Linked DNA regions of Macaca mulatta. The protein of the gene in region 1 purifies or fractionates together with the protein of each later gene. This does not show direct contact. Links are inferred from orthologs where the notes say so. Each region holds a gene or a part of one and is shown on either strand. Other genes may lie near its edges. The genes, in order: NEDD1 and TUBGCP6.

Region 1 (3,816 bases):
TTCACATTTTCAACTGAGAACCTTTAAGGCATGAACAACAATGAATTACAATTTTTTTCATAAATTAATAATTTTAAAAAAGGGTAGTAATTAGAGTACTTGCAAATCAGAAGTAACCCAAATGTCTGACATGATTATTTAGATAAATTGGTGTACTCGTGCATTCATATCTTAAACAGCTATTAAAATCACGTAGAAAACATTAACATGACTGTTTATTATAAAGCGTTATTCCAGGTTTTCTGTTGATACTATACTGAATACACAGAAACATACATACACACGGAAAAATACTTAAAGGACATCCCCTCAAAATGTCAACCAGCTTTTCTCTGGGTTTATGGATGATTTTGGGTGGGATTATGGATGATTTTTCTTCTTTGTGATCAAAAAAAACCTTTTTTCTATTAAATAATTATCTTAGTAGAGACTGACAAACTATAACCAATGGTGTAGCCTACTTATTTTTGTAAAGTTTACTGGAACACAGCTATGCTTTTCATCTGTATATTATCTGTAACTACTTTTCAGTACAATAGCATAAAATATTTACTGTCTGGCCCTTTAAGAATAAGTTTTTGAAACCTTCCCCTCGCCTGTAGTGAGTGGTGTGCTTTTTATATTTAGAAACAGTCTCCCTCCTCCATAAACACACAACATTCTTACCCAATAATGTGTTACAAGAAAAAATAGCATTGTTGCTTATGGTGCTGGGATTTTTTTTTCCCCCCATAAGCTTCTTGATTTAATTCTTTTCTTATAAATAGTTTAGTCTGGAACAAGATAGGGACTTAATGACTTAAGTGCTGCTGATACTAAAATAAGTTAATATTTATTTTAAATATAATTTGGAGGCCAGGCGTGGTGGCTCACACCTGTAATCCCAGCACTATGGGAAGCTGAGGCAGGTGGGGTGCTTGAATCTGGGAGTTTGAGACCAGCCTAGGCAAAATGGCGAAATCCTGTCGCTTAAAAAAAAAAAAAATATATATATATATATATATATATACACACACACAATTAAATATATATATAAATTATATATATATATATAATTTAGTAAATCAGTGTTTTGTTTATCCAGGATTCTTGGCTAATATCTTAATGATATTCTAAAGAGAAGATTTAATAGATGTAGAAAGTTAAGAAATGAAATTCTGTTAGTATTATCACAGAAATAATTGGAGGCATTTAAAGAATTCAGTGTGGTTACTTAAGGGTCTTTAAAAATATATGTAAAAGATGTTTGAATGGTGGGTACATAAGCAGTGATGAGCAAGTAAGTTATGAGCTTCTGAAAATGGTGGTGACAGCTGCTGTGTACCTGATTCTTTACAGAAATGCTATTTAATCCTTAAAATAATTGTGACAGGAAAACAAGAGTGTTTTCTGTTATGTAAATGACAACACTGAGTTTTGGAGAGTTTAAGTAATTCACTTAAATCATACAGAGGTTTGCTGAGCGTTCACTGAACTTAGGTTTATCTGAAAGGAACATTTATCATTATCTTTAGCCTTTTCTTTTTTTTTTGTCTTGATCAAGAATATGTTTTTAACTGGTTATCAAGTTGTATTATAGACAGTGGTAAACTTCTTGTTCCTTGCTACCTGCAAGCAGATTCTGGATGACCATGTTTTAAGGATGTTTTAGGAAAATTCCTGCTGTTGCTAAAAGGTTAAACTTTTTGAACTTTGAGAATCTACCAGGTCTATGATTTTTATGGTGTTTTAAAAAATTCTACTTGTATATTTAGTCTAAATTTAGATCATGTGAAGGACCATAACTATATGAACTCCTAAAGTGCTGTAGAAATCTTTTTAGAAATCATGTTTTGCCTTATATTTTGATATGTTGTGTATGACTCTGTAATCATTAACATAATGTACTAAGGATCTCTGTGTCTTTTATATAGTTAACATTCATGTAGTTTATTTTTCTTGAATATAGACCAGAGAAAAGATTTGACTATTCAAGTTGGATATACTTTTTCCCAACAAAAATAAAAACTATGTAAACCAACATTTTCTCTTTGTACTTTAGCCATTGAAAATGAGCCATATTTAATGGGTTAACATATTAATTGTCTTAACTTAGGTACCAGGTGACTAATACTCCTTTTTTTTTTCTTAGAAAAAAAAAGTCTGCATTTCCTAGACAATTTTTTTTTGTTATTGAGATCTAATATATATTATTTTAGACATTTTAGAGTTAAGTAGAATATAAATTTGTAGGGAAAAAAATAGCTTAAATGTAAAGTACTTAATTCTCAGCCTAGTAAATGACAACATCAATACAAGTTTGAGAGTAACATTTTAATAAAAAAGAAAAGTAGATAAAATTCAGTTAGTTTTAATCTAAGATCAGTTTATTCAAACTAAATCTTTGTTTATTCTGGTCCATAGAAACTAAGAAGAGAGAATATCTCCACTACCCACAGGGATTTGTGTTTAGAGAAAGGCCAGCATTGCCCTCAAGCTGATGGTTTGGAAACAGTGGATATAGTCCATCCCCAGTCTAGAGTGTTGCCAGTTTTTCCTTTGTGGTTTAATTTTTTTTTTAAATTATGCTTCAAGTGTTGAATTGTCAGTGCATCAGATGCTCAGATTCAAACGAATGCATCAAAATATCTAAGATATAAAAAACAAATACAAAATATTATTGCTTTTTTTTTCTCCCAGTATTCCCTTTTACTTGTTCATGATTTGACTGTGACTAGGCCTTTTATATATGGTGAATGTTCTAACCCTGATGAATTCATGTAGATAATCTCAATGTATTATATTTTTCCTCTGAAAGGGGAAGATTGAGGTAGCTATACTCCAAGATAATAAAATGGTGAATATTAATAGACTATTGATTGGTATGTTTCAGTTATTGGTATGTCATCTTATGGTCCACTGAATGACACTGTGGTTGTCATGATTGAAGTTTGTTACTCTTTTTTTCTTTTTTTTTTAAGACAGAGTTGTTTGTTTGTTTGTTTGTTTTTGTTTGTTTTGTTTTGTTAAGACAGCGTCTCACTCTGTCGCCCAGACTGGAGTACAATGGCGTGATCTTGGCTCACTACAACCTCCGCCGCCTCTGCCTCAGCCTCCTGAGTAGCTGGGATTACAGGTGCCTGCCACTATGCCCAGCTAATTTTTGTATTTTTAGTAAAGATAGGGTTTCACTAGGTTGGCCAGGCTGGTCTTGAACTCCTGACCTCTGATGATCCACCTGCTTCAGCCTCCTGAAGTGCTGGAATTACAGGCGTGAGCCACCATGCCTGGCTGAAACCTGTCACTCTTACACATCAGAGAAATCCTAAACCCCATGTGAATAGTGTGGTTGGCCATAATTTATATGGCTTATATAAAACATCCTTGTGAATGCTTATAATTACATAAAATTTATTCTTTCATTTTTGTAGTCTGTTCGGCAGTTGAAGTACTCCTTGTTTAAGAAATCACTACTGGGCAGTGTTTCGGATAATGGAATAGTAACTCTCTGGGATGTAAATAGTCAGAATCCATACCATAACTTTGACAGTGTACACAAAGCTCCAGCTTCAGGCATCTGTTTTTCTCCTGTCAATGAATTGCTCTTTGTAACCATAGGCTTGGATAAAAGAATCATCCTCTATGACACTTCAAGTAAGAAGTAAGTGTGACGTGCTTGTTTTTAAATTTAGTAACAAATAGCTATTATTCCACTAACAGGCATATTTGTGATTTGTATAGACCTCTGACTAACGTCCAGGGGTCCTAAAGTTTGTACTGTTGATGAATCTAGTAAGAAAGAATTTTCTTTTCAATCAGAAAAAAATAGATGGATTG
Region 2 (3,816 bases), on another chromosome or scaffold:
ACTGCACCCAGCCTGTTTTGTTTTGTTTTGTTTTTTGAGACAGGATCACCCAGGCTGGAGTGCAGTGGTTCAAACATGACTCACTGCAGCCTCAACCTCCTGTGCTCAAATCGATCCTCCTGCCGCAGCCTCCTGAGTAGCTGGGACCAGCAGGCCTGCACCACCACGCCCAGCTAATTTTAAATTTTTTTTGTCTTTTTTTTTTTTGAGACGGAGTCTTGCTCTGTTGCCCAGGCTGGAGTGCAGTGGCGCCATCTCAGCTCGCTGCAACCTCCGCCTCCCACATTCAATGATTCTTCTGCCTCAGCCTCCTGAGTAGCTGGGACTACAGGTGTGCAGCACCACGCCCAGCTAACTTTTTGTATTTTTAGTAGAGACAGGGTTTCATCATGTTGGCCAGGATGGTCTTGATCTCCTGACCTCGTGATGCGCTGGCCTGGGCCTCCCAAAGTGCGGGAATTAGAGGCAAGAGCCACCACACCCAGCCTAGAGATGTCTGTGTGTTTTTTTTTTTTTTTTTTTTTTGAGACGGAGTCTCACTCTGTCGCCTAGGCTGGAGTGCAGTGGCACAATCTCAGCTCACTGCAACCTCTGCCTCCCACATTCAACGATTCTCTTGCCTCAGCCTCCTGAGTAGCTGGGACTACAGGTGCACACCACCATGCCCGGCTAATTTTTGTGTTTTTAGTAGAGACGGGGCTTTGCCATGTTGGCCAGGCTTATCACGAACTCCTGACCTGAAGTGATGCACCCGCCTCGGCCTCCTGAAGTGCTGGGATTACAGGCGTAAGCCACCATGCCTGGCCTAACTTAAAATTTTTGTAGAGATGGGGGTCTCGCTATGTTGCCCAGGCTGGTCTCAGACTCCTGGGCTCAAGTGATCCTCCTGCCTCAGCCTCCCAAAGTGCTGGGATTATATGTGTGAGCCACTGTGCTTGGCCTAACAGCTCTTTTTAAAATATCTCTTTAGGATATACACAGTGCTGTTGTGATTTAGTATCTTGTTTCCTTGTAATGTGGGATATCTCTTTTCCTTTCTAACGTGCGTATTTGCAGCTGTAACCTCCCTCCTGGCTTCTGCTGCACCCCGTTCGTTTCGGTTGTCATGAGCCCTCTACTGGGGGTCTCCACTCTCTGGTTACAAACACATTGCGGGGAATGTGCTGTGGCAAGTCTTTGTGCATCTTCCATCGTTTCCGCTCTTTCATCCCGAAGAGTTGAATGAGCGGGTCTCACGGCAAACATGTTTTATAGCTTCTGCCCTAGGAGGCTGTCTGTGTACTTGTGTCCTGTGGAAGGTGTTCTGTTGTTTCCTACCCTTTTCTACACTTGGCATTTTAAACATGTATTTTTCAGTGTGGTGAGAATTTGTGCCTTGTTTTGGTTTGTACGTTTTTGTCCCTCAGTGTAGGAGTTCTGGGTGCGCCTTCTGGGTGTTTGCTTTTGGGTCCTGGGGGCACTCTAGGTGGTGTGGGGTTGGGTGCAAGGGTGGAAGGAGATGGCACCTTCCTGGGGGTCTGGGTGCCTGGCCTCTGAGCAGTGTCCTCTACCCCTGTGCAGCCGGCCCAGGCCTTTGTGGTGAAGCGGGGTGTCCACGTGTCGGGAGCGTCTCCCGAGAGCATCAGCAGCCTGCTCTCGGAGGTGGCCGAGTATGGGACCTGCTACACGCGCCTGAGTCACTTCTCTCTGCAGCCGGTCCTGGACTCTTCGTACAGCAAGGGCCTCGTGTTCCAGGTACGGCCTCTGCCTCGTGGCTGTCACACATCCTTGTGAGAACGGTGCACACGACCTGGAAAAGAGAATCTCAGAAGTCCTTCTGCAGGACCAGACAGTCTAAACCTTTTCTTTCCTTGCTAACATCTGAAACCCAATAGTGGCTCATGAGGGATGGGTCAGTGAAGATGTTTTACCTCACTGGAAACCTGGGGCAGATGCGTGTGGGCCCTGGGGTGTGTGGGAGGCAGGTGCAGCCAGCATTCGGGGCATGCGAGGCAGGAAAGGCGTTAGTGGGGCTCTTGCCGCCTGCTCCCCAGTGGGCCCGGCACATTGCGGATGACTGACACTGCCCGGCCCTCGTGTTGGGTGAATTTACACTGCTGGGCGTTCTGAGCCAAGTCTGGCTCCGGAAGCCGCTCTTTGGTGAGTCTTGAAGCTGGCTCATATGCTGAGTAGAGACCCATGGGACAGAGGCTGCACCTTGATTGGGAGAGAATAGGCAGGCGGATGATGGGTAATTTGGGGGCTGAGAGGAGGGTGTTCGGAAGGTGGGCAGAGAGCACTGGAGGAGCCAGGCGGCGCAGCCTCCTTCAACTGTTGCTGCCACAGCAGGGGCTGTAGGGTGGGGTGATGTGGTGAGGTTTAGGTTTTAGACGGGCTGCGGAGGTGGGCATGGTGGGAGCTGCATGGGACGGGGAGAGCTTCTAGGCAGAGGCTCAGGCCTGGGGGACTTGAGGGCTGCAGATGGTGGAGAAGGGGGCAGAGCAGGGACACTGAGAAGGGCTGGACTGTGGTTCCCACTCATCTGGCAGGCGTGGCCAGGAGGGTTCTGGGGTGGGTGGACTGAGATTGGTCCAGGGTGCGCCTGTCTTGGTGTGACCTGCAGGGCCTGCTGCTGTGGCATTGCCCAGGATGCTGGTGCCACTGAGACCACTGTGGTCCGAGCAGACGCAGCTCTCACAGCACTAGTGTCTGTGCACAGAGCGCAGCCGCCATTTCCCCCCTCACCCCTCAACCCCTATGCCACGCCCCTGGGGCAGCTGGTCTCAGATGAGAGGAAGGGTTGGTGGGGGGGGCCACATTTCCACCTGGTCCAGTGGTGGGACGTGGCTCACAGAGGCCCATTGCTTGGAAATGGAGCCCAGAGCTGAGGCAGGAAACAAAGCGCTGTGCCCAGTACTGGTGCCCCTCAGGCCCTGGTCACAGCTGCGTCCATGTGCTTGGCCGCCCTCCTCCCAGCCTCTTTGCCCACAGGCCTTCACCAGTGGCCTGAGGAGGTACCTGCAGTATTACCGGGCCTGCGTCCTTTCCACTTCGCCCACCCTGAGCCTCCTCACCATTGGTTTTCTCTTCAAGAAACTGGGCCGGCAGCTCAGGTGAGCCTCAGCATGGTGACTGAGCAGGGGACTTTGCAGGAGTGGCATGGAGCCTGCTGGGTGATGGAGGGTTTGCTCTGCTTCCTGGCAAGGAGGGCCTGTGAGAACAGCCCTCAGCAGGTGACTGGATGGCCCTTGGCTGGCCGAGTTCACCAGGTGCCAGGCAGAGTGGGTGTGTCTCCCATGGGCCTACCACAGCTGGCCCCATCCAGGCCCTCCAGGCCTGGTGGCTCCTGCCTAATTGGCACACAGGGTCCCTAGGGATGTGGCTTCTGGTACACACAAGCTGGTTACTGAGCAACCAGGCTGGGGAGCTACTGGCAAGTGCTGTCAGACGAGGAAGAGTGAGGAGTTGGGCGTTGGGAGCAGTGGGAGAGGCGACCTTCCAGGCAGAGGAGCAGAATGTGGCAGCCCTGAGGAGACCCAAGGGCTGAGACACCGTGGGGCAGGGGAGCCTGGGCTGTGAAGGCGCGAGTTGTGGCAGGTGCTTGGTGCCACTGTGTGGATGGGAGGGGCTCTCAGGTGCAGCCCCCGGAAGTGGGAGGATCAGGGTGATTAGTGTGTTGGCCAGAGCCTGGGAGGGAGGGGCCTGTTGGGTGTGGGTACTTCAGTGGGTCTGTGTGGACAGTGCAGAGGCCCAGGGCTGGGCACAAGTCCTCCAGGGAGCCCATTTCTGGGTCGCTGGGGTGCATGTGGTTTTTAAAGACTGCATCTGAAGTCAGTT

The links.
Region 2: the proteins of NEDD1 (region 1) and TUBGCP6 purify together in Homo sapiens (affinity purification with mass spectrometry; 3 studies listed by BioGRID and IntAct, with this or other methods). This does not show direct contact. The link is inferred for Macaca mulatta from reciprocal best matches to the Homo sapiens genes NEDD1 and TUBGCP6.

What each region holds. Positions count from the first base shown.
Region 1 is NC_133416.1:104,258,568-104,262,383, forward strand, and holds part of NEDD1 (protein NEDD1), read left to right. Parts: intron 1-3,410; coding exon 3,411-3,640; intron 3,641-3,816. UniProt on the Homo sapiens protein: Required for mitosis progression. Promotes the nucleation of microtubules from the spindle.
Region 2 is NC_133415.1:1,217,292-1,221,107, forward strand, and holds part of TUBGCP6 (gamma-tubulin complex component 6), read left to right. Parts: intron 1-983; exon of another isoform or gene 984-1,560; coding exon 1,561-1,734; exon of another isoform or gene 1,735-1,789; intron 1,790-1,910; exon of another isoform or gene 1,911-2,196; intron 2,197-2,970; coding exon 2,971-3,092; exon of another isoform or gene 3,093-3,190; intron 3,191-3,816. UniProt on the Homo sapiens protein: Component of the gamma-tubulin ring complex (gTuRC) which mediates microtubule nucleation.